Linked DNA regions of Struthio camelus. The protein of the gene in region 1 interacts with the protein of each later gene in a pairwise test. Links are inferred from orthologs where the notes say so. Each region holds a gene or a part of one and is shown on either strand. Other genes may lie near its edges. The genes, in order: GPN1 and GPN2.

Region 1 (10,769 bases):
GATTGAATACATTGATCCAATGAAAGACCTCTGATAGCAAATGTTTCTCCCTCTCCAGTTTTGTGGTAGAAGGAAAGTTGACTGGTTGAGCGTGATTTGTTCTTAAAAAACCCATATTGCTGTTATCATCTCCTCATTAACCTCCAGATGCTTACAAGTAGTTTGCCTGATTATTTGGTCCAATAATTTGGAGGAAATTAAAATGAAGCTGTCTAGCCTATACTTCCCCTACACTCCTTTTTTTTCCACTGTTGAAAATAGGCTTGGACTTCAAGAGAGACAGAAATTAGAACAATCCTCTCCCAATGTAAAATAGAAGCTAGGCAGCAGTATCATATAGCAAGATTCACAGAATCAGAAATAGAGATGGGGGGACAGCAGAGGATAGCATTTAGGCAGATAGGAAGCCAAAAGCACCTGGAGGCTTGTAACTAGAAATTACAGGTTGTTTATATTACCAGAAATCTTTTGCTTCTTCTTGGGGGAGTCTTTAAGATCTTCATCTTCCCCTTGCTCAGATTTCCTCTTGCCTTTCAATAGTACTTCTCCTGCTAACAAGAAAGAATGGAAATACTTAGTCTGTCAACAGCTTTGTGTCTGTCTGCTGTCTCAGTTTCTCTTCATAGTCAATACTTCTAAAGAAAAAAGTTGCTTTTTGTGCATCATCTAGACACCAGTGAGACAGACATAAGCTACTGAGTCAGTAACTCTAAGGCACTCCATGTTCTTTAGAGGAAAAAATCCACAGCCTGCAATCTCCCGACAAAGAAGACATGGAAGAAACAGTACCGTAGCACAGTTTAGGAAAACAGTAATACTCAGTAAGAGAGCAAGGAGGGAAGAGAGATCCAGGAGATGAAGAAAGAGCAATAAGACTGACATTTTGGCTCTCAGCCACATGAAAAGTTTGGAAAACAACTCCTAAGACCAGAAAACCTGAACGTCCCTGCTTTACTATAGCAAAGTAAGAGATAATCTTGACCTCCAAACCACTCTAAATCAGAAAATCATGAGAAAATTAAAACATTTTTAAAAATCCACAAAAAAGTCTAACAACTAGAAAAGCTGTGTCTAATCCAGAATACTGCTGCATGGTCCACTTTTGTACATTTTTAGTGTTGCTTTGTTCTGTTCTTAAAGCTGTCAAAGCATTTTCCTGAAACAGCTGGCAAAACCCTTAGACGTACTTCTTCTATAGACAAAGCCGAGTTCAGCCATAGAATCATTAATTTTAATAGGCAAGTCACTCATAACACTATGCAGGTTATGCAGACCTGCTCTCACAAGGCAGAGATTTTTACCTAAGATTCTGAAGTAGTAAAAGTTTCTCTCTCCTAATACACAAACATCATTACCAAGTTTGGAATTTGTGGCTGAACTTCAGCAAGTCTTTCAAAACTCATCCAATCTCTCACAAAAGAATTGGAGAGAAAAATAGTTTTATATAGAGCCAAGAGTGATGAGTACCTTTTTTTCCTGAAGTTTTGTTAATGCTGGTTTTTATTCCTCTCATTTCCAACCAGTAAGCAGGCCTGCGAATTGTCCTCTTGCTTCTTGACTCTGCACTCCCGTTCACTCGACTCTTGGATGAGGCAGAAGAAACGTTGCTGACTGTCTCATCATAGTTACTGTTCAGTCCTAGGACAGTAGTTTCCAGCTCCTCAAATTGCTTAGATCTGGAATACATCAACTTGAAATCATATATACGTATGTACGTAAACAAACAAAACCACAGTGACTTGATAGACAACATCCCTTTCATCTTCCCAAGCACTCTAGAAATTCATCTCACAGTTCATTGACTCTCCTGAGGTTTGTGAAAGAAGTGCCAGCAAGGTAAAACATCCTAAACATTATTTTTCACTGCTTCTTTTAGAAAATGACATTAGAGAGCTACTCAAAAGCAGCAGAAAAAAAATTCATCCTACCTCAACCCTTCAACAGTAAGGAGCAGGTGCAAGTTCATCTCAGTTTAAAAATAAACATTTATCCTTAAGCTGTCAGTGTGGAATATAAGGACTCTTCTTCCAATCTTTTCCTTCTCATGAAGGGCAAGATCCCCTTCAGTATGCATTCCCAGAACGAGAGCTGACATTACACAAATTAAAGACTTAACACCAGGAAGAACTTTAACCGGCAAGGCCTTCAACAATAAAAGCCTGAAGATATATCCTATGAATCACATTATATTAAGACTAATTTAGAATGTGAAGTCAGCAACACTGATTTTATCTCTAGAGATCAGATGGAACTTTGCTGCACTCTTCTCAAATACTTCTCACAGCCCTGAAATGCCCAGACATTTACACTACCGTACATGACAGCAACGATTAAGCTGCTAAAAGACGCTGAGTACATATTCTCTGAGCAAATACCATTAATGTAAGAGGAGCAGAAGGAAAACAATTATCAACATAGCCTGTTACTGCCAGAATCCACAAAGGGAAACAAGTAGATCTTTTGAATGACAGCTGTGATGGCCATCCCAGAAATACTCTCCTACACCCCCAGCTGTGGAGCTCATGCCTTAACACTTTGGTACAGAAGTTAAGAAGTCAGGGACAGATTGTACCAGGTGGGATAGCACACACTATGTTTGAGGAGTGTAGAAGGCTGTTGAGAGGAATTCTCAGATTGAAACCTTTGAATTAGTATTTCTCATGCTCAAAATGCATGGATTTGGGAACACCATTTAGCTCTTCAAGCTATAATTTCTATCTTCCCAGTGTTAAAATCCTTTTAAAAAACAAAAATGAAAGCTTATACCAGTTGAAGTGTCAGAAAAGTGCTTTTCCAATGAGCTAATAAGCAAACTCAATTGAGATTCTCATCAAACAAATCAAAATGGTTGCAGCTCTTTTTGTTGAGGCTATTATTGAAAATATCAGACACAGCTTCCCAATAGGAATCGCTCAGCTTTTTCCTTGCCCTCAGTCAAACTTGACAAGAAATGTTCACATACTTTTTGTTTCCCAGAGATCTCTTGACCTTCTGTTGTCTGTGATGTTCAGGCCTGGCATCCTAACAAAGTAGAACAATTCAGATTAGCAGTATAATTTTTTTTTCTTCTTGCATGTTTCATTTTTCAGTTCAACACAATAAACTGCACTTTGAGGAGCTGTGTACCATTGCTTTGAAAGGGAAAGCACTGTCTTCTGCAACAAGGAAGCGTTTACCCCTTTCAACTCCTGTTGAATTAGAACAGGAATCAAAACAGGGACAAGGCCCTCCCCAATCCTCTCCCCGTATGAAATTCAATCTCTCCCCTTGCACTATAGCATGATGGAAGATGCTTTGTCTCCAACTCACTCAGTGGTACCTGCTTTCTGCCTAGACTTTAGCACATGATGAAAAGTATTTTAGATTCTAACCTACTAGTTTTTCCATAGTACTTCTTCTTTCCTTAATGAAATTAGTCTTGCTTTTTCCATGTCAAGAATGTTGGCTCTAGCCTCCTCTAAGTTTTCTTTTCATGTTTTATCTCCATTACTTTGTCATACTCCATCAGTTGACTGAATGTTTACTTTATCCACGTCTCGAAATCTTTCTTCTTATTTAATAAAGGATTTTTCTCATTTATTGCTCTCTACTTCTTGTATTTTTATTAAGACATGTAATGCAACAGATACCATTGACAACCCTAAATCAATATAAAGGACATTCTCTTGGCATGTGGAGAATCATTTATTACCTTCTTCCAAATACTAAATGACTCAATCTCATGCCTCATTGGGAAACCCAGGACACAGATTTTGGTTATACTGACCAGAAAACAAAATCAATGCACAGTAAAAGTATGACACAGAAAAAACTGTGAGCTAGAAACAGAGATAAAATTGCCACATATAAGAACTGGCTAAGGGACTGAAAACAAGGAATATGCCCAAACGACCTATCTTCTTTATAGAAAAATGTAACACACGAGTCAACTGGACCCATGCTATAAAGTGCTTAGTTATTAGAAATAAATATTAGAAATTATCTGGGGAAAACAGTGAACAGGTATGTGAAAGAATTTGAAGAGGTCATAAAAATGTAATAACTTGTCAGAAGCAGATGCTGAGAAATTTCAGACGCTGTACTAAGAGACTAGGGAATAGGCAGCTTCAAGACAAGTGAAATTCATCACTAAAAAAATACATGCAACTGCACATTGGAAAGATTAACTTGAATCTGTCTTATACGCTCCTACCTTCTAATTTATGCTTAGGAACATATATAAACAACTGAAAAAGATTTGGATATCACGATGAGCAGTTCAATTAAACCTCTGCTTATATTGTGGCAAAAAAAAGATCAGTAAAGTTAGTTTTACTATATGTGCATGCATGTACCTACACATACACACGTATAAAAATACAGTCTTGCTATAACCTAGTAGGTCACTCTTCCTAGGAAGACAATCAGCGAGAGACTTCTAACCCCAGGTACACACCAGGGAAGAGACTCAGAAACAAGCGTGGACATCAACTATATGAATTCTTAAACTGCAGTCGGGGACCGTCAAACTTTCCTTGGGCCTCTACCTCTAGCGCCTGCTCTCGTGGAGAGGTTAACAAAGTAGCTGGAAATACGTTAACAACTGCTTGACCAATACTCTGACAATCACTTGTCGTCTTTGGAAGAAAAGTGAACTGAATGTTTGTATTACTTTGTCGTGGCTCACACGCCACGAGCAGTACTAACAGCAACGTCTGGGGACCCCTACATCAGAAACCTGGAGGAACTGCAGCGTGATGAGACGCTGGAAAAGATTAGGCCTGTGAAGTTGCAATGAGAAAAAGAAAAGAATATGCATAGCCTACTGTGATCAGCTGGCCTAATTCCCCGTTGGAAGAACTTGAACTACTGACAAACATGGCACATGTTTTAAGATTTTTTAGGACTGCAAGATTTTGTATAAAACTGGAGAATTAGCATGAAGAATTTGAGTGAGAGTTAAGGGTCTGCAACAAAAAGGAGCTCTCTGATCTGTTTTGCCTTACTTTCCGAGAGGCTGATAGCAGCAAGAACGAAGAAAACATCTAGAGAAGCTGACATTTAAAGCGTTGGGTGTTTCTTATTTATACAATGTATTTCCCACTTAGAAATCACTGGGAAAACACTGGGAAAACACTGAGGACAAGAGTATGCAGGAATGCCAAGGGCTGGACACACGGCAAATAGAAGTAGCACCTTACAACCTGAAAGGATGAAGAAGGGACTTCTTTCCCAGGTGTGCTACTCCTGCTACTCCAAATCCAAGGATTTGGAGGACGTTCCAGGCTCTGGAACGTGGCCTTCTGCTGGGGACAGGCTGCTCCACCACCACGCATAAGCCCTAGTCTGAAAAATGGTGTTTAAACAGAGGACAGAAACTCCGCTGGAGGAGTTGAACTAGACCTACAGCTGCGGAGAAGAGGCGTCAGCGGAGGCATCAAGCACTCCAGGCTGCTGTGCCTGTCCCACCCCGCCAGGTAAACCCCGGGCACGCAGGACTGGCTCAGCCCCTTCTGGGCAACTGCGTGCTCTAAGCCCACACGTTCATTGCTCCCTGCGTGCTTCACGGACTGACGTTTCCTGAAATAAAGACCTCCTAGGACAAAACGGATAGCCCCGCCGGGGCGGGAGCCGGCGGCACCCCGCTCCGGGCCCCTCCCCACGGCCGCCGGCGCCTGCCGGGCCGGCGCCCGGGCTCGAAGCGGAAACCCGGCGCTACCGCGGCGGCGGCGGCTCTGCGGGCACGCCGCAGTCCCGGCGCGAGGACCAGCCGGCGGGCGGTGATAAGCGGGGGCCCGGCCTCGGGCTGGGCCCGCTCGCCGCGCCGTCCCCAGCCCGCGGCCCGGAAGGACCCTCGGGGCGAGGCGGCGGTCCCGCCCCGCCGCGGCCGCCCCGGTGCCGCCGTGCTGATGGCGGAACCCATCTCGCGGCGGCTTCCGGCCCTGTGCGCCCTCCCCCCCCCCTCCCCGCCCGGGACCGGCGTCGGGCCCATGGCCCGCCCGGGGCAGCAGCCGACGGCGAAGGCCGCGGGCACTCACCGAGCCGCCGCCGCCGCCCCGCATGGTGCCGCCACGTCAGCACGCACCGGGCGGAAACTCCCGCCCGCCCGGTCGCTTCCGGGCGCCTCCTCGCGGCGGCTAGCGGGGCCCGGGCGGACGGCTCGGTGCGGGGCGCCCGCCCGGCGGCGGGGCGGCGGAGCGGGACGGTGCGGCGCGGCGGGGCCTGCCCTGCCGGCGTCCTGCCCTGCCGGCGTCCTGCCCCCGCCTCCCCCGCGCCCCGGAAGGACAAGTGGACACTGGGAAGATGGCGGCGGCGAGCGAGGCGGCGGCGGCGGCGGCGCCTGCGGTGTGCGTGCTGGTGCTGGGCATGGCCGGCTGCGGGAAAACCACCTTCGTGCAGGTGAGCGGCAGGGGCCGGGCCGGGGCCGTTCTCCGCCCCCCGCCCGGCCTGACGTCTGCTCGTGTCCCCGCAGCGCCTCGCGGCCCACCTGCACGGCCAGCGCTGCCCGCCGTACGTCATCAACCTGGACCCGGCCGTGCACGACCTGCCCTTCCCCGCCAACATCGGTGAGGCCTGCGGCGCGGGGCAGCCGGGGGGCTCGCCTCAGGGGTCCGCCAGAGCGGAGCAAGCCCGTTTTTCCATAGGTTAAAGCGTTTGTGGTGTACTGGTTTTCCCGCGTTTCACGGAAATGCGGGCCGTGCTTTGTAAGGCGTTTGGCTAGGTTGTTTATGCTCCTTTAAAAAGATGGCAAATGCTAGCATGAGAAGGGCCTCCGTGTAATATTTTTTTTCTTGACTTTTGATTCTTTTCTCCTAACAAACTTTTTTCTTAGTCATGTATTTCTTGAGACCAGTGCTATCTTACCATCTTGTTTGTACCTTTTTGCATTGCCTTGTGTGATTTGATGATGCTCTGTTTGGTTTCTGTTGTTTTTGTTTGTTTGTTTGTTTGTTTCCCTTTATCAGTGCTGAACATGGTAACAGGTTTGACCTGTTCAGACCCTCCAGGTCTTTCCTCTCCTTTTCAACTTTTTTCAAACACTTTAAAATACGTTAATTTTAAGGAAAAGATCTTAATAATAAAACAGACCTTGTGTCCGCTCATTCCTAAAGGCTTGTCATGCCTAAGGGCTTACTGTTCCTTGGATTTGTGGTGGTCCTATCTTTTATACTTTCTAGAGCTCATCAGCCTGGTTCTCTGGGCAATAATAAAGGTGGTGTGGATACTGAAGTATTTTTACTGGTGTCAAATGAAGAACTGGAGAAAGCATTCTAATGCCAGATCTCTCATAATGCAGTTAAATACTTGTACTTTGTTAACTGATGTTGGCCAACTGAGAAGAAAATTCAATGTAAGCAGTTACAGCTAAGTACTTACACTGGAGATATTTCACATGAATTACCTTGGGTTTTATAGGTATGTCGACAGCATAGCAAATCCATTATATTTTATGTATTCTATCTGTGAGTCTTCTGTTGTTGCTAGATTTATTATTGAGGCAAAAGGAGAGCTGCTGGACAAGGAAAGGCTTTCTCTTATCAGCATGTTGATAAACAAAGCTATTTTTGAAGTAATGTCTTAAAACTATTTATACTTCTTCTCCCTCCAGATATCCGGGACACAGTGAAGTACAAGGAAGTCATGAAACAGTATCCTTTTTTCCTCTTACAATGATCTGTAAAATTTCCAAATACGTGAAAGTTGGCCATCTCTTCTGCCCTTTAGAATGAAGAGAGGGGTGTGTATTGGGGATTGGAGTAACTCAGAACGTTGTGCAAAGACCAGAAGTTTTTGACTGGGTATTTCTTACATTGAAGATTAGAAATGCATTTTGAACAAGATCTGATACTCCTTAGGTCGTTCCCTTCTCCTGTGCTAACAGTGATTCAGCCTAGGAATACCTTTTCACAAATAAGAAGCACTCTGTCCACCTCTCTTTTCTGTTCTTTAGACCAGCTTGTGTCTTTCATTGTGAAAGCCAACAGCCTTTTTCCCATGCATGTATAACCCTGTTTTTGTTTGTTATAAGCATATCCAAATTCCTGCTTGCCTTTAGTAGGTGGGGAAAACTTTTCTTCTTTCTCTCTCTCTCTATCTAGGCAGCTTTCCACATGATTTGAACATAAAGCCCTGTTGTCTTTCTGAATCTCTTAAGACATTGGACCATTTGCTCTTGCTACACAATAGTTTGACTGTAGTTCAGTGACATGACACTAAAATGACTGCACCCCCAGTGGGATATGGAAGTCCTTTGACCTCCTAAGTAATGGCTTTTGCAGATGGAGATGCTGTGCAGGGTTTAGATTTGGCATACGAGTGAAACTCTTAATTAAAATATTTTAGAAAAGAAGAATGATGGTGGGGGTTAGGATTCTGACTTTTGCTGGTGTTTGATTAGGATTTACTAACAAAAACCATCTGAGTATAAGTTTAAATTTGGTACACAGATGCGTTATTTGCTCTACTGTGTCTGTTGTTAGCCATTACTGGAGTTTAACCATCTCATTAAATAGTGCTTAAGGAGAGTGTTGGGCAGCTTGTTTGGACATTGAGAGCAGTGGCGCTGGAAGACTGCCTGTACTGATGAATCAGTGCTGGTTCTTGTGCAGTAAATAAAATATTTAATGTAATAAAAGATTCTTTCCTTCATTGCACATAGATCCGTATGTGTGCAAAGCATTTTAACATCTTCATCTTTAAGCTGTCTTTGATAAGCTGAGTGTTTTTACGAAGCTCATTCCCATTCTTTCCCTTTACATTTACCTAAAAACTAATTTGTGCAAGAAATTCTTTAATTATGTTTTGAAATATGCATTCTTAAAGTTTCAGTGTATTCAGGACATTATCTTTCCGAAAAGATTTATAACACCGCAGCCAGTAACTCAGAATTTGATGAAGATTGCTTTGATCATTTTGGACAAAGAGGAAAAAACTGTAATGCTTGAATGATGATCAAGGGAAGGCCATGGTGTAGCCCCTTTTCCTTTTTGTCAATCATCCATGTGTTTGTGCAAGAGACAGACTGCTTTGTATTTGTTATGTTACTGCATCACTTAGGAAACTTAAATATGTGCCCTTTAGAGTTACTGACGTTGTCTTTTGCTGCAAGGTGCCCAATGTGCATTGTAAATGACCCCCTATTATCAGATTTGAGAAGGAAGCACTCTGAGGTCTGTGTAATTATAGGCTTTCCTAAATAAAGTATCCAGATATGGGCTGGGCCCAAATGGTGGAATAGTGACCTCTCTCAATCTCTTTGCTACAAGATTTGATCAGGTACGAGGTTGTTTCCGTGTGATACTGTGCTACGTGTTTGTGGGAGACTGTTATTTATTTCTCGATCTGTAGTTTCAGAGAACATTGTTTGATTCAGCCAGTTAATTTTTCTTCTGAGTTATTCTCCCTGCTGGACCATGTATCCTGTAAAGTAGCTGAACTACATTAGCTCTCAATTTGAGAGAGAGAGCAGTTTTCCACCTTTTTTGTGGGGGTAAAACTTAGAAGCCATATGTACAGAACATTGATACTTTAGTCTTTGTACAAAACTATTCTGTTACACTATGTTCCCTGCAAGATTTTCATCTTTTTTATGAATGCTCTGATTCTGGAGTAGGGAAGCTGACTTCTGGAGATCAGTCAGTTATCCAGTGTCACTAGAGAAACCTGACTGCTCTCTTGAATCTTAATCCCAATGCTGGGAACCTTACACACGACATTGAAGCACTGCACAATCCCTTAGTAAAAAGGTAGGGAACAACTGCCTTTATTATACAGATTCTTTAGCCAGGTACTAGAATGTGGGCAAAGTTAAAGTTGTTGTGGCACATGCAGTGTCTGAGCATTTTCCACCCTTCCTTAGTAGGGCATTTCCACACGTTGAAAAGCTTAAGAGCTTTGATTTGCACATGTAGCTGTGCGTGTTTAAGCTGGTATAGTTTCTATATACAGAACAATTCTAAAAGCTTCTTGTTTTGAGCCTAAGTGCAAGATAAACTGCTACTTTTTCTTTTCAATCAGGTCATGAAGTTTATTGAAAAAAGACAAAATGCATCCAAGTGAGTATGCTCTATGAAGTCTTACTGTTTTGGAATCACTGTGGGAAAACCATGCGAGACCCTAAAAAGGATCTTTGCATGTTTTCTAGTTGTTTTTCTTTTTGTTTCAGTTTAAATTTTATCTGAAAAAGGACATAGAATTAGAAAAGATAAACTAGACTCTTACCTGATACATGTAAGTTGAAGAAAGAAATATCTACCGGTGCCAGTTCTGCCTTTTTTTGTCTTCCATTAGACCTTCATTTTCCTCCTTCACTGTTCAAATATGCAACAGTTAATTCTCGTTCTGAGGAGTTAACAATGTTAAGTATCCGTCACATTCATGCTTTTGATTTTAATAGTATCTGAAGAGATTAATAAGTGCCTCTTAGTTACATGGTGCACAAGGAAATTTTCAGGCCTGTCCTTAAATCTTGTCAGTCTTTGGGAGAAACTTACCTGATCCGTAACAAAATAGTCATGTGATCTGCCGTTCCCACGCCTCTGGTAATCTGATCTCACCAGCACCTTGTACTTGACTAGTTTCCTCCCCTCTTTTTTTTTGTTTGTTGGGGATGATTTCTTAACAGGTATGTTATCATTGACACACCAGGACAAATAGAGGTATTCACCTGGTCAGCATCAGGAACCATCATAACTGAGGCACTGGTAAGTATATTCTACAGGACTTGACAGCAAGGTTGTGTGAACAAAGTGGCGATTGAATAGCCTCTACTTCTAACTAAAATATCTTTT
Region 2 (10,651 bases), on another chromosome or scaffold:
CCGATCCGCAGTGACGCACGGCGTCGCGCGCCGGCTCGGCTCCTGCCGGGCGGGGCGACAAGATGGCGGCGCCCAGCTGTGGCGCCGGTAATGGCGGCGCCGCTGCCGCCAGCTACTGCCTGGTGAGCGGCATCCCGGCGGCGCTCCGTTCCGCACAGCTCCGCCACTACTTCAGCCAGTTCATCGAGGCCGGCGGTTTCCTCTGCTTCCACTACCGGCACCGCCCCGAGCGCCCGCCGGCGGCGGGGAGCGGCGGGGAAGCCGCGGCGCCGCGCACTTGCTCCTGCCTGGTGGCCGTGCGGCCCGGGCGCGCCCGCCGCCTCGTCCGCATGTACTCGGGGCGCCGCTGGCTCGGGCCTGGCGGGGCCTGGCTGCCCGGCCGCTGCCTCGTCCGCAGGGTCCGCCTCAGCCCCGGTACAGGTACGGCCGGGCCTTTCCGAGGGGCCTGAGCTAGGCCTCGCCTCCCCGCACGGGCCTGGGGAGGGGGATCCGGTGCCAAACGGGCCCGAAGGAACCCCCGGCCCCAGCAGCCAGCCTATGCTGCTGTCCACTGGATGGTTAAAACCCCTCACGGAGTTTTCTCCCTGCCTTAAATCCACTGTGGGGTTGGAGGAGTCGGTTCTGGCTCCGTTCATCTTCTCCGTCTATAAAATGCTTGAGGCCGGTGCCTATGTGGGAGGGCGCCTGATTTATCCCCTCTCTGGTGGTGTGCCCGAGTGTGTGTTTTCTCCCTCCCCTGAAATCCTTGCCTCCCTCTCCTCCAGGTGCAGAGACATTTCCCTACAGAGGTGACAAGATGGCTGCGAGCGATTCTGTCGCTGAGGCGGATTTGAAGCGGCTGCCGGAGTTAAACCCGCCTGCGTTCATGCCTCATGGGAACGTGGGAACACCTTTGAAAGTTTTTCTGGAGTTGATCCGGGCCTGCAGGCTGCCTCCCCGGATTATCAAGAAATTGCAGCTGGATTTTCCCAAGACGGGCTCATCCCGTAGGTATGGGAATGTGCCTTTTGAATACCAGGACACTGAGACAGTTACAGGAGAAGAAGGAGTTTATACTGCAGCAGGGGACGAGATCACAGAGGACGAGGGGCCTGTGGCAAGGTCTGAGATGTCCAATTCAGTCAGTGCTGAGGAAGATGGGGCGGGACTGGAGAAGGAGGAAGCGGAAGAGTCGCACTCAGATGATGTAAGTGGATTTCTCCTGTTAACATCTAAGGTTAATCGTTATGACTGCAAAGCTGGGAGGGTCAATATAACTCTCTCAGAGCTTATTTTTCATTTCTTAATTGTATTGGGTAGATCATTTGTCTGAAAATGGTGTTAGAACAAAGTTGTTCAAATTGTGGTGCACCAAGACCCTTGGTGCACGTGGTGGTGTTGACATTAGCGTCTCTGAAGCTGGTTGTCCAAATTAGGCCAGTTTTAGGGAGATAAAACTGTTCAGCTCAAAGGGCTTGGCCCAAAAGAACAAGCACAGGCTGAGGCTAGTGCTCCAGGTGGAGGTCTCCGCCCCGCCACTTGGCGGACTGTCCTGGCTCTGCTGTTGCTTATAAATGATGTGGCTGGAGATTTAGAAGCGCATTAGTGTTTTCAAAATGACATGTGAAGCTGTACAAATGCTTGACCTTGGATGCCCTTGTGCTTAAAGTTATTCATTCCATGTCCCGAGAAGAATGATTTTCCTGACAAAGACTCCTAGACAACTGGGCTGGACAGGTTCCCCACAGACTATCTCACTCGCCCCCACGTGACAGACGCTTGTCTAGTCTGTTCTCATAAACCTCTGTCATTAGAGGGGTAGTACAATCCCCAGGCAAGCCATTCCCGTTCTCAGCTGTTCTCGCCATTATACACCAGAATAAACTTGTACGCCAAATCTTCTTTGCTGCAATTTTATTCCATTAGGTTATCCTAGCAACAGCAGACACCGAGAACACTTTGTTCCCGTCTTTACAAACTTCTTATTCAACAGCTGCCTTCAGTCTTTTCTCTTCCAGACTAAACAACTTGACTCCTCTAGCCTTTTCTCACAGGCTCTGTTTCCTGGATCTCTAATCATTCTTTTGGCTGTTCTTTAGTTGGTTGATGTCTTCATGAAGGGCTGTGCCCAAACTGGGCAGCCAGCAGCAAAGCTGTCAGTTTGATCTATGGCTCTGCCAGCAAGCTTCTTCTCTTGAAATGATACAATCTCTCTTAAGGATCAACTTGACTGGAATTAATTTGTCGCTAGCGCTGACTTTACGTACGACAGGCCTGCTCCTTAAATGGGCATCTTTGTGTTACGGATTGGCTATGTTGCTGAAAGGCTGCTGTGAAGTGGGTGTGATGTGGTATTTTCATCACTTTTGTCTGCTGACTCTGAAGATGGCATTAGTCAGGGGAATGAAGTCATCAGTGCGAGTCATGTTAGTGCCTGAAAACAGCAGGCTGGAACGAGCTCTGTTGACGAAGCTGTTTCACAGCGAAGGCATTGCAATGGACCGTGAGGGTCAGGGAAATGGGGAGGAGGCTGGGCCGTGTGCTGTCACTATTGCTCACCTTTCACTGCTTCCTTTGCAGGACAACGATACCTGTGAGGAGTGGGAGCGACATGAGGCTTTGCATGAGGACGTGACCAAGCAAGACCGCATGGAGGAGCGGCTCTTTGAAGAGGAGATTGAGCTGAAGTGGGAGAAAGGTGGCTCTGGGCTGGTCTTCTACACGGATGCTCAGTACTGGCAGGAGGAGAACGGAGGTAATGTTGTTAGCGTTTGTGTCTCAAGACTGAGCCGCAAACTAACCACCACTGTCTGGGGTCTTGGAGGCCAAGTCCTGCAGTAGCTGATAAATCAGGTACAACCCTGTACAATTATTCCTGTTCAGCTACAGATGCAGGCATCTTGCCATCACATGTTAAACTTTCCCTTTCTCACAAAGCCTGTAGTCATTCAATCCAACGGCCAGAGATCCCTCTCTGGTCCTACTGGCAGCCTTCTCTGTAGGCAGTGTGGCTTGTGGCATCCCAGCTACCCTTTCCTTTTCATTTCGCTAGAGAAAATGGGGGGCTCTCCAGCTGTCAGACAAGTCTTCTGTGTCAGGCTTTCACAGTCATCACCACCAAAACTGATGGTTTCTTTCTCTTGGCAGACTTCGATGAGCAGACTGCGGACGATTGGGATGTGGACATGAGCATCTACTATGACAAAGGTATCTGAGCTGAAAACCCTCCTAGGAAGCGGTAGAGAGAGGGTAGTCTTGAGCTTGCAGAATTTCTGCAGTGGGGGGACTCTTTGGCTCTGTCATCCTTTGAAAGTGTCCAAGATGTCAGAGTAGTTGAAACAGCATTTTTTTTGGTTTGGCAGCGAGAGTTGCCAAGGGGAACAGGTTCTGCCTCCTTGCTGCTTGGTGCTCTGGGGGAAATCAGAGTGGTGAAAGGCTTTCCTGAGCTGTGCTGCTCTGATCCTTGCTTCTTTCTTCCTAGATGGAGGAGATAAGGATGCTCGGGACTCGGTCCAGATGTGGCTGGAGCAGAGACTCCGGGATGGCTTGGAGGATGGGTCTGTTTCAGGGCAACAGATTGGGACCTTTGAGAAATACACCAAGGTGAGCTTTGGCTATGCACTCTGGAGTGGATGAGGCAGGCCAGGAAAGGCTGTGGTGGTGATGCTTAAAGGATGTGGGTCTTGGGGGAGCAAAGAGCTTAGGCATGTGGTAGGGGAGGAGGGTTCTGGGCGGGTGAGGAGGTGGCTTTGTCCAGCATCTCTGCAGAAGCCTTGAACCAAACTCCCGAGGTCACCCTGGATCGTAACCGCACCCATCCTGCCTTGGCCCTGGAGCAAGCTCACGTGGATCAACTTTTTCCCCTCCCAGGGCATTGGCAGGAAGGTGCTGGAGCAGCAGGGCTGGACCGAAGGGCTGGGGCTGGGGAGCAGCAACTCAGGAATGGCCGAAGCTTTGGACAACGAGGGTCAGAATCCCAGATGCAAGAGGGGGCTGGGGTAAGTACCCAACCCTGTCCTGCCGGCGCGTGTTCAGAGCCTCCCTCTGAACTGACAGGGCAGCTAAGTGGCAGTGAAAGGAGCAGAGTGTGAACCAGAACTGGAAGGCCACCCCAGGGATCTGCCTTCCCCCGTGCAGCAGGCAGTAGGGCCTGCCGCAGTGCTCTCGAGCACAGTACGCTGCATTTCTGACCCATAGTCTGACAGTCCAGCTCTCCCTGAAAGGGGCTTGCGATGCCCTGGGCTTGTGGTATTAGAAGAGGAGGAATGGACCCATTGCAGGTTCGTGCAGCACACAGGCATGGAAGGAGAGCAGAGCCGTATGGGAGCTGTGCTCAGATCTGAAGCCGTGATCACTTCTGCCATAGTCATCTTGTGACCTGAGCTGGAGCTGTGCATCTCCCCTCTACCTTCTCTGTGGGGTTTCCAAAGGCTTTATGCATTGCTATATTATGCTGTGAGGGCTGGCTTTTGTTCTAGAGCCATCGCACAGCCAGGAATAGGAAAATAATTTATTTTTTTGCCCTGTATTGGCCTGCTCCTCCCTTGTAGCGTGTGAAGGAGATGGCCTGGGGTATAAAGGGGTTTCCCACTGCCTCAGCAGTGCTGGACCCAGTGCTTCCTGCTTCCCTCCAGGTACCATGGGGAGAAACTGCCGACCTTCAGCAAGGTAAAGAAGCCTCGGCGAGATGGTCCCATCCTCATCTCCACCATCTATGATGACCCTGAGCCAATGGACAGTGGTGACCTACTGCTCAGGCGCCAGCCGCCCACTGCCATGAAGTACAGACAGGACATGCCATTTGTCCGGGCGTCCTATGGTGCTCAGGAGAGACCCAGTGCCCTGTCGCACTAAGCACGGACTGTCACAGAGCCTTTGTACTGGTCCTGCCTCCCTCCTACCGCAGGCTGGCTCCTGCTGGTCTCAGGTCTGGAGCAGGGCGTTGTTAGTATATTTATTTTTGGAAGAAATGGAGTTGTAACAAAAATTGCTTTTGTGGGTTTTTTCCTTCTTACTTGAGCTATTTCAAGCCAGGGGAGACATTGCTTATCCCATTTGCTCAGTGAGGTTGGGGAGATGACTGATGCTTTAAAGCCAATGCTAGGGGGAAGGCTGCTCCCTGGATTAGCCAAGGTTGTGTTCTAGGTCTGTAGCCAGTTCAGCCTGAAGATCGGAGCTCGTAGTTCATGGCTGCCTGAGACCCAGGGGAGGACAAGTACAGACAAGGCCAAACGTGGCACAGTAACTGTCCTGCAGACAGCTTGCTGCTGGCCTGCAGCCTCACGTTGCCTGGGCGTGACGATCCCACAGTCACAGGAGAAACTTGCCTTGATGAAAGACACGTCCTGGCAGCTTTCAGAGGAGCTCTGCAGGAGGCGTCTCCCTGCGGTCGGGCGTAGCAGTGCTTCCTTCCATGGCTCTTGGACATGCAGGGCCATGTTCTGCCTGTTTCCCTGACACAGGCAGCCTTTCCCAGGCTGCAGCGTCCCCAGTCTCTCCTGCGGAGAGAGCCTTCAGCCTTGTGACCCTGTACTGCAGCGTTAGACATGAATTAGCATTCTGCCTGCCTGCAGGCTGTGGCCTGGCCACGTTAGGCTGGCCAGACACCCCGGACTCCTTCATTAAAGCTCTAGCCGTAGTGGGAGTGACACAGAGAGCAGTTTCCCTTTTCTTTGCAATGAATGACTGAACTCGGTTGCAGGTCAGCAGCCCGGAGGGACAGGAGGACTTAGCCTTGGCAGCAAGGGCAGCTGCTGCTCCTGCAAGCTGAGACCTCCCTTTGATGGGGCTTGTAACTCTTGCTGTGGCACATATTGTGTTCCTCGCCGTGCTCTCGCTGGGGCTGCCTGCTTCTAATCTCAGACTTCAGTGGGTTTATCAGGGCTGGTAAGGAAATCAGCGGCTGGGTTGCTGTCACAGAGCCTTTGTGTTGGTCCTGTCACCTGCAGCCTGCTCCTGCTGCTCTTGGGGCTGGAGCAGGCCGTTAATACACATTTACCATAGAATATAGTATAGTTTAGAAACAGATCTGTAACAAAAGTCACCTCTGTGGGTTTTTTTCCTCCTGCAAGGGGTAGCACGGCTGAGCTGCCTTATCCAGCCTTGCTGTACCAGACCCCTCGTGTGAGGGGCGCTGGAGTGGGGGGTTTTTGCAGGAAACCCCTGTTCCGTAGCGCCGGCAGGGCCGCCGCGACCCGCAGGCGGGGCCGGGACGCGAACCCGCCGCCCGCGGTCGGCCGGGGCTCGGCGTCCGGCTGCGCCCTCGGCTCCCGCGGCGGCGGCGCGTCCCGCCGGCCGCCAGGGGGCGCCGCAGCGGTGTGGCCGGCCGGAACGCGGAACGCGGCGCGCGGGGCAGCCCGGACCCGCGGCCGGGGGCACCGGCGCGGCGGCGTTGGGGGGTGAGCGGCGGGGAGCGCGGCGGGGGGCGGAGGGGACGTGGGGGAAGCGTGGTGATGGGGGTGGAGAGGGGACGTGGGGGGGGGACAAGGGACATGGGGGGAGGACAAGGGACGTGGGGGGAGGACAAGGGACATGGAGGAGGGCAAGGGACATGGGACAAGAGACATGGGGACAAGGGACTTGGGAGGACAAGGGACTGGAGGGGACAAGGGACATGGAGGAGGACAAGGGACGTGGGGGGGACAAGGGACATGGGGACAAGGGACATGGGAGGACAAGGGATGTGGGGGAGGACAAGGGACGTGGGGGGACAAGGGACATGGAGAAGGACAAGGGATGTGGGGAGAGGACAAGGAACATGGGGGACAAGGGACGTGGGGGGAGGACAAGGGACATGGGGGAGGACAAGGAACATGGGACAAGGGACGTGGGAGGAGGACAAGGGACATGGGAGAGGACAAGGAACATGGGGGACAAGGGACATGGGGGGAGGACAAGGGACATGGGGGAGGACAAGGAACATGGGACAAGGAACGTGGGAGGAGGACAAGGGACATGGGGGAGGACAAGGAACATGGGGGACAAGGGACATGGGGGGAGGACAAGGGACATGGGGGAGGACAAGGAACATGGGGGACAAGGGACGTGGGGAGAGGACAAGGGACATGGGGGAGGACAAGGAGCTTGGGGGACAAGAGATGTGGGGGGAGGACAAGGGATATGGGGGGAACAAGGGACATGGGGAGAGGACACAGGGGATGCAGGAACAGCCTGGGGACATGGTGGAAGAGGGGAGAGGGGACATGCTGTGGCCAGGGAAGGGCCACGCCAGTGGTTGTCACATCGGGAAGGACCCAACCAGGGCAAAAGTCACCCCAAACAGGAGCGGGGGCCCGCGTCCCCCAGACACCGACCACCCCACGGGTCTCACGGGGAGCTTTGCGCCCACGTTCGGCCGCGGCGGCATTGCTGGAGAGGCCGGGCGGGAGGGGGGTAACGGCGGGCGCAGGACAATGTCCTGACTGCGATGTGGCCGTGCGGGAGGCCGCGGTCACGCAGTGGTGCTTTCCCTGCCCCTCCGCCCGCTCCTGGCGGGCCGATTCCCCACCGAGCTCGGGGCCCAGCGGATCGCCTTCTTATAGACGCAAATACAACGGTAAAGCTGAGCTGCTCCTCTTGCAGACAACAGGAGGAGAAGGAAATGAGCCAAGATGTCTGAAAACAGCCAAAGGGCCTCCCTGGCCTTCGGGCAGGTAGTGATTGGGCCTCCGGGCTCGGGGAAGACGACCTACTGCCACGGCATGCAGGAGTTCATGGCCAGGATCGGGCGCCGGGTGGTCGTGGTGAACCTGGACCCCGCCAACGAGGTGACGCCCTACCAGTGCGCCGTGGATGTCTCCGAGCTCATCACCCTGCCGGACGTGATGGAGAATTTGAAGCTGGGGCCCAACGGCGGGTTGATCTACTGCATGGAGTACCTGGAGGCCAACTTCGACTGGCTGCAGGAGAAGCTGGCTGCCTTCAGGGGTCACTACTACTTGTTTGACTGTCCGGGACAGGTGGAGCTCTACACCCACCACAACGCCCTGAAGAACGTCTTCGCACAGTTGGCCAAGTGGAACTTCAGGGTAGGTTTGGGGCCTCGCAGGTGGCTGGAATCACCACCTGGACCCATGTGTGCTTGTGAAAAGGGCTCAGGATTTTTACACCATGTGATCGGAGCTTTTGGTTGTGGATGTGGGAAATAATGATTCTTTTCTTTGCTAATCTCTTTGTCCTTTCATGTTCAAGGGGTTTATCAGGGAAGGAGAAGAGTTTTGCCCCCATTTTATGCTTGGAGGGATTGGCAAAGAGTGCCTTGCTCAGGACTTTGGCGGTGGCATCATCAGGGGTAGAAAGAGGGATTCTTTCCTCCCACACTCTGGCTTTGCTCTCAGGTCCTGTGCATGCAACTTGTATGTTTTATCTGAGGCTATATTTTGGAGCAGGGAGGTAGATTTGTGTGCTGGGGAAGTCAGGATCCTTGGCATTGCACTGTGAGAAAGTCAGCATCATCTCAGGCCCTACCTGCCACTCCTGCAGCCAACCCGAATCGCTGTGCACGCTGTAATATGTGCCGTGTGCTTTCTTGCACAATGGAAGATGCAAATTAGGAAATGCAGGTGAGAAGAGTCCCGTCACCAAGCTAACTTGCCTACGTTGCATTTGTTTTGCATTTGGGCCAAACCATGAATGTGCACACCATGTATGGTGTGAGCAAGAAAGGCAGGTTCATTTGCTTGAGAATGTCACTGGGAATCTGCACATTAGAATTGATTTTTATTCAAATAAATGTACATGAAATTGCAGTTGCTAAAATAAGATAGTTACGCTCTTTTTTGATGCTCAGTTTAGCACTAACAGTGCTTACCCCTGCCTATGAGCTTTACACTTACTTTTTCTGCTGCAGAAGCATAGCTGTGACTCAACCACACTTGACTATAGAGCCCTGACTTTGAGTAACATTGTGTAACAGGCAGTAACTTAACAGAGATCTTAGGCCACATTGTTAGAGCTGCATGAAACGCAGGGAATCAAACTGCTCGTTAATTTAATTATTAATTATTATTTCAAACCACATGACAATTGTTTCTCCCAGCAGAGTATGGTGTACTATAGTTACTGCTACCGAGTGTACACCGTGCATGAACATTCCTTTGGGGAAGGTGGGAATCTCACGGCAGTCCTGTAATTCAAAATGAGAGTTAACCCAGACTCCCACCCCCAAAAATCTGCGGAGTTCAGACAAGCGTGTTTCCTTGCTTCAGCTGCAAAAGAAAAAAGTCCTGAGAAACAGAAGAGCAGTAGCAAGTCGAAGTGTCTGTCAGCACTGCTGGTGGAGCTTAACTCCTCTATAAGTCTTCTCATGGGTCTTTCTCTTTGCTGGCACCCTGAATCCCTCGGGTGGTCTATGTGTGTAAATGTCGATCTATAAATAGACACACACACACACACACACGTATACAAGCGTGTATTTATATGAGGATGTTTCATATACACAAGCTAGAAGTTAGGAGGTAACTTTCATAATATGGGAACCTATGTGGTTATAATCGTGTCCGTTCAGTAACCACTTCTTTGATCGTCCCAAAAGTGAGTAGAGGGGCTCTTCGCTGTGTCTGACCTTGTGCTCTCCCCTTGCGCCTCTGCCATCCAGCTGGCAGCAGTTCACTTGGTGGATTCTCACTACTGCACGGATCCTGGCAAGTTCATCTCTGTCCTGTGCACCTCGCTCTCCACCATGCTGCACGTGGAACTGCCCCACGTTAACGTCCTCTCCAAGATGGACCTGATCGAACAATATGGCAAGCTGGGTAAGAAGAGTCTTTGCCAGAGAGAGACGTAGAGTTGGGCTGGGTCAGGGGCAGACTAGCAGCTCAGCTGCAGCATTGCGCTGGTGTGTTGCTGGGAGATGGTCGGGGAACGGTTCTAAATTTTTCTGGTTTCTTGGTGGCACGTTCTGGCTGGGGAAGCCCCAATACCCACAAAGTGCCCTCAGAGGTACTTGCTCAGGAAGCAGGAGAAACAGCACTGACAAAGGGTCCGGTGGGAGCACATCAGACCAGTGTGTGTCACAGTCTGCTCTTTCTTGCCATCGCCAGCTGCTGCTCTCTCACTCTGCCCAGCCTCAGTGCTGCTGGGGTAACTGAGTCTCCCCTGGTGCAGTTGTTGTCTGCTTTTGATCCTGTTAGCATCCATATTTGATATTAATTTAAACTAAGTGAGCCGAATTTGGCAGGAGTGTGCAAGGCAAAGCTGCGATTTGCACTTCAGCAGGTGCATGTTGCTGTGGGAGAATCCCCATTGCTGAAACCCACCTGCTGAAGAGCCTGGAAGGGCTTTGTGCTGTTAATGGAGCCTTTGGGAAGCAGTGTCTTCCCCGCAGCGGGGAAGGCTCTGGCCCACCTAATCGTAAGTTAGGAGCACGGTTATACTAAGCTCTAGAGCATCCAGAAAGTTGGGCACCTCTGGGGTGTGTTTAGCCCATGTGAGATCTGAATCACACTCTGGAGGTGCTGTGCTCTGGAGGCAGGTTCTGAAAGGTCCTTTGCTGATGTTTCCTTGCAGCCTTCAACCTGGATTATTACACAGAGGTCCTGGACCTCTCCTACTTGGTTGACCATTTAGCTTCCGACCCCTTCTTCAGAAATTACCGCCGCCTCAATGAGAAGCTGGTGGAGGTGATTGAAGACTACAGCCTGGTGTCCTTCGTTCCGCTTAACGTCCAGGTGAT

The links.
Region 2: the proteins of GPN1 (region 1) and GPN2 interact in binary tests that used the Homo sapiens proteins (3 or more experiments, as listed by UniProt). The link is inferred for Struthio camelus from reciprocal best matches to the Homo sapiens genes GPN1 and GPN2.

The regions. Positions count from the first base shown.
Region 1 is NC_090944.1:468,438-479,206, reverse strand, and holds the start of GPN1 (GPN-loop GTPase 1), read left to right. Parts: upstream 1-6,229; 5' UTR 6,230-6,282; coding exon 6,283-6,378; intron 6,379-6,451; coding exon 6,452-6,545; intron 6,546-7,588; coding exon 7,589-7,628; intron 7,629-9,188; coding exon 9,189-9,255; intron 9,256-9,996; coding exon 9,997-10,034; intron 10,035-10,603; coding exon 10,604-10,682; intron 10,683-10,769. Other genes in the region: ZNF512 (zinc finger protein 512), read right to left, coding at 459-551, 1,468-1,676, 2,963-3,021, 5,184-5,315. UniProt on the Homo sapiens protein: Small GTPase required for proper nuclear import of RNA polymerase II (RNAPII). May act at an RNAP assembly step prior to nuclear import.
Region 2 is NC_090964.1:6,815,606-6,826,256, forward strand, and holds the start of GPN2 (GPN-loop GTPase 2), read left to right. Parts: upstream 1-6,287; 5' UTR 6,288-6,377; intron 6,378-7,122; exon of another isoform or gene 7,123-7,302; intron 7,303-7,560; 5' UTR 7,561-7,589; coding exon 7,590-8,006; intron 8,007-9,574; coding exon 9,575-9,731; intron 9,732-10,191; coding exon 10,192-10,329; intron 10,330-10,485; coding exon 10,486-10,646; intron 10,647-10,651. Other genes in the region: GPATCH3 (G patch domain-containing protein 3), read left to right, coding at 63-420, 765-1,186, 2,560-2,734, 3,127-3,186, 3,461-3,582, 3,850-3,977, 4,614-4,833. UniProt on the Homo sapiens protein: Small GTPase required for proper localization of RNA polymerase II and III (RNAPII and RNAPIII). May act at an RNAP assembly step prior to nuclear import.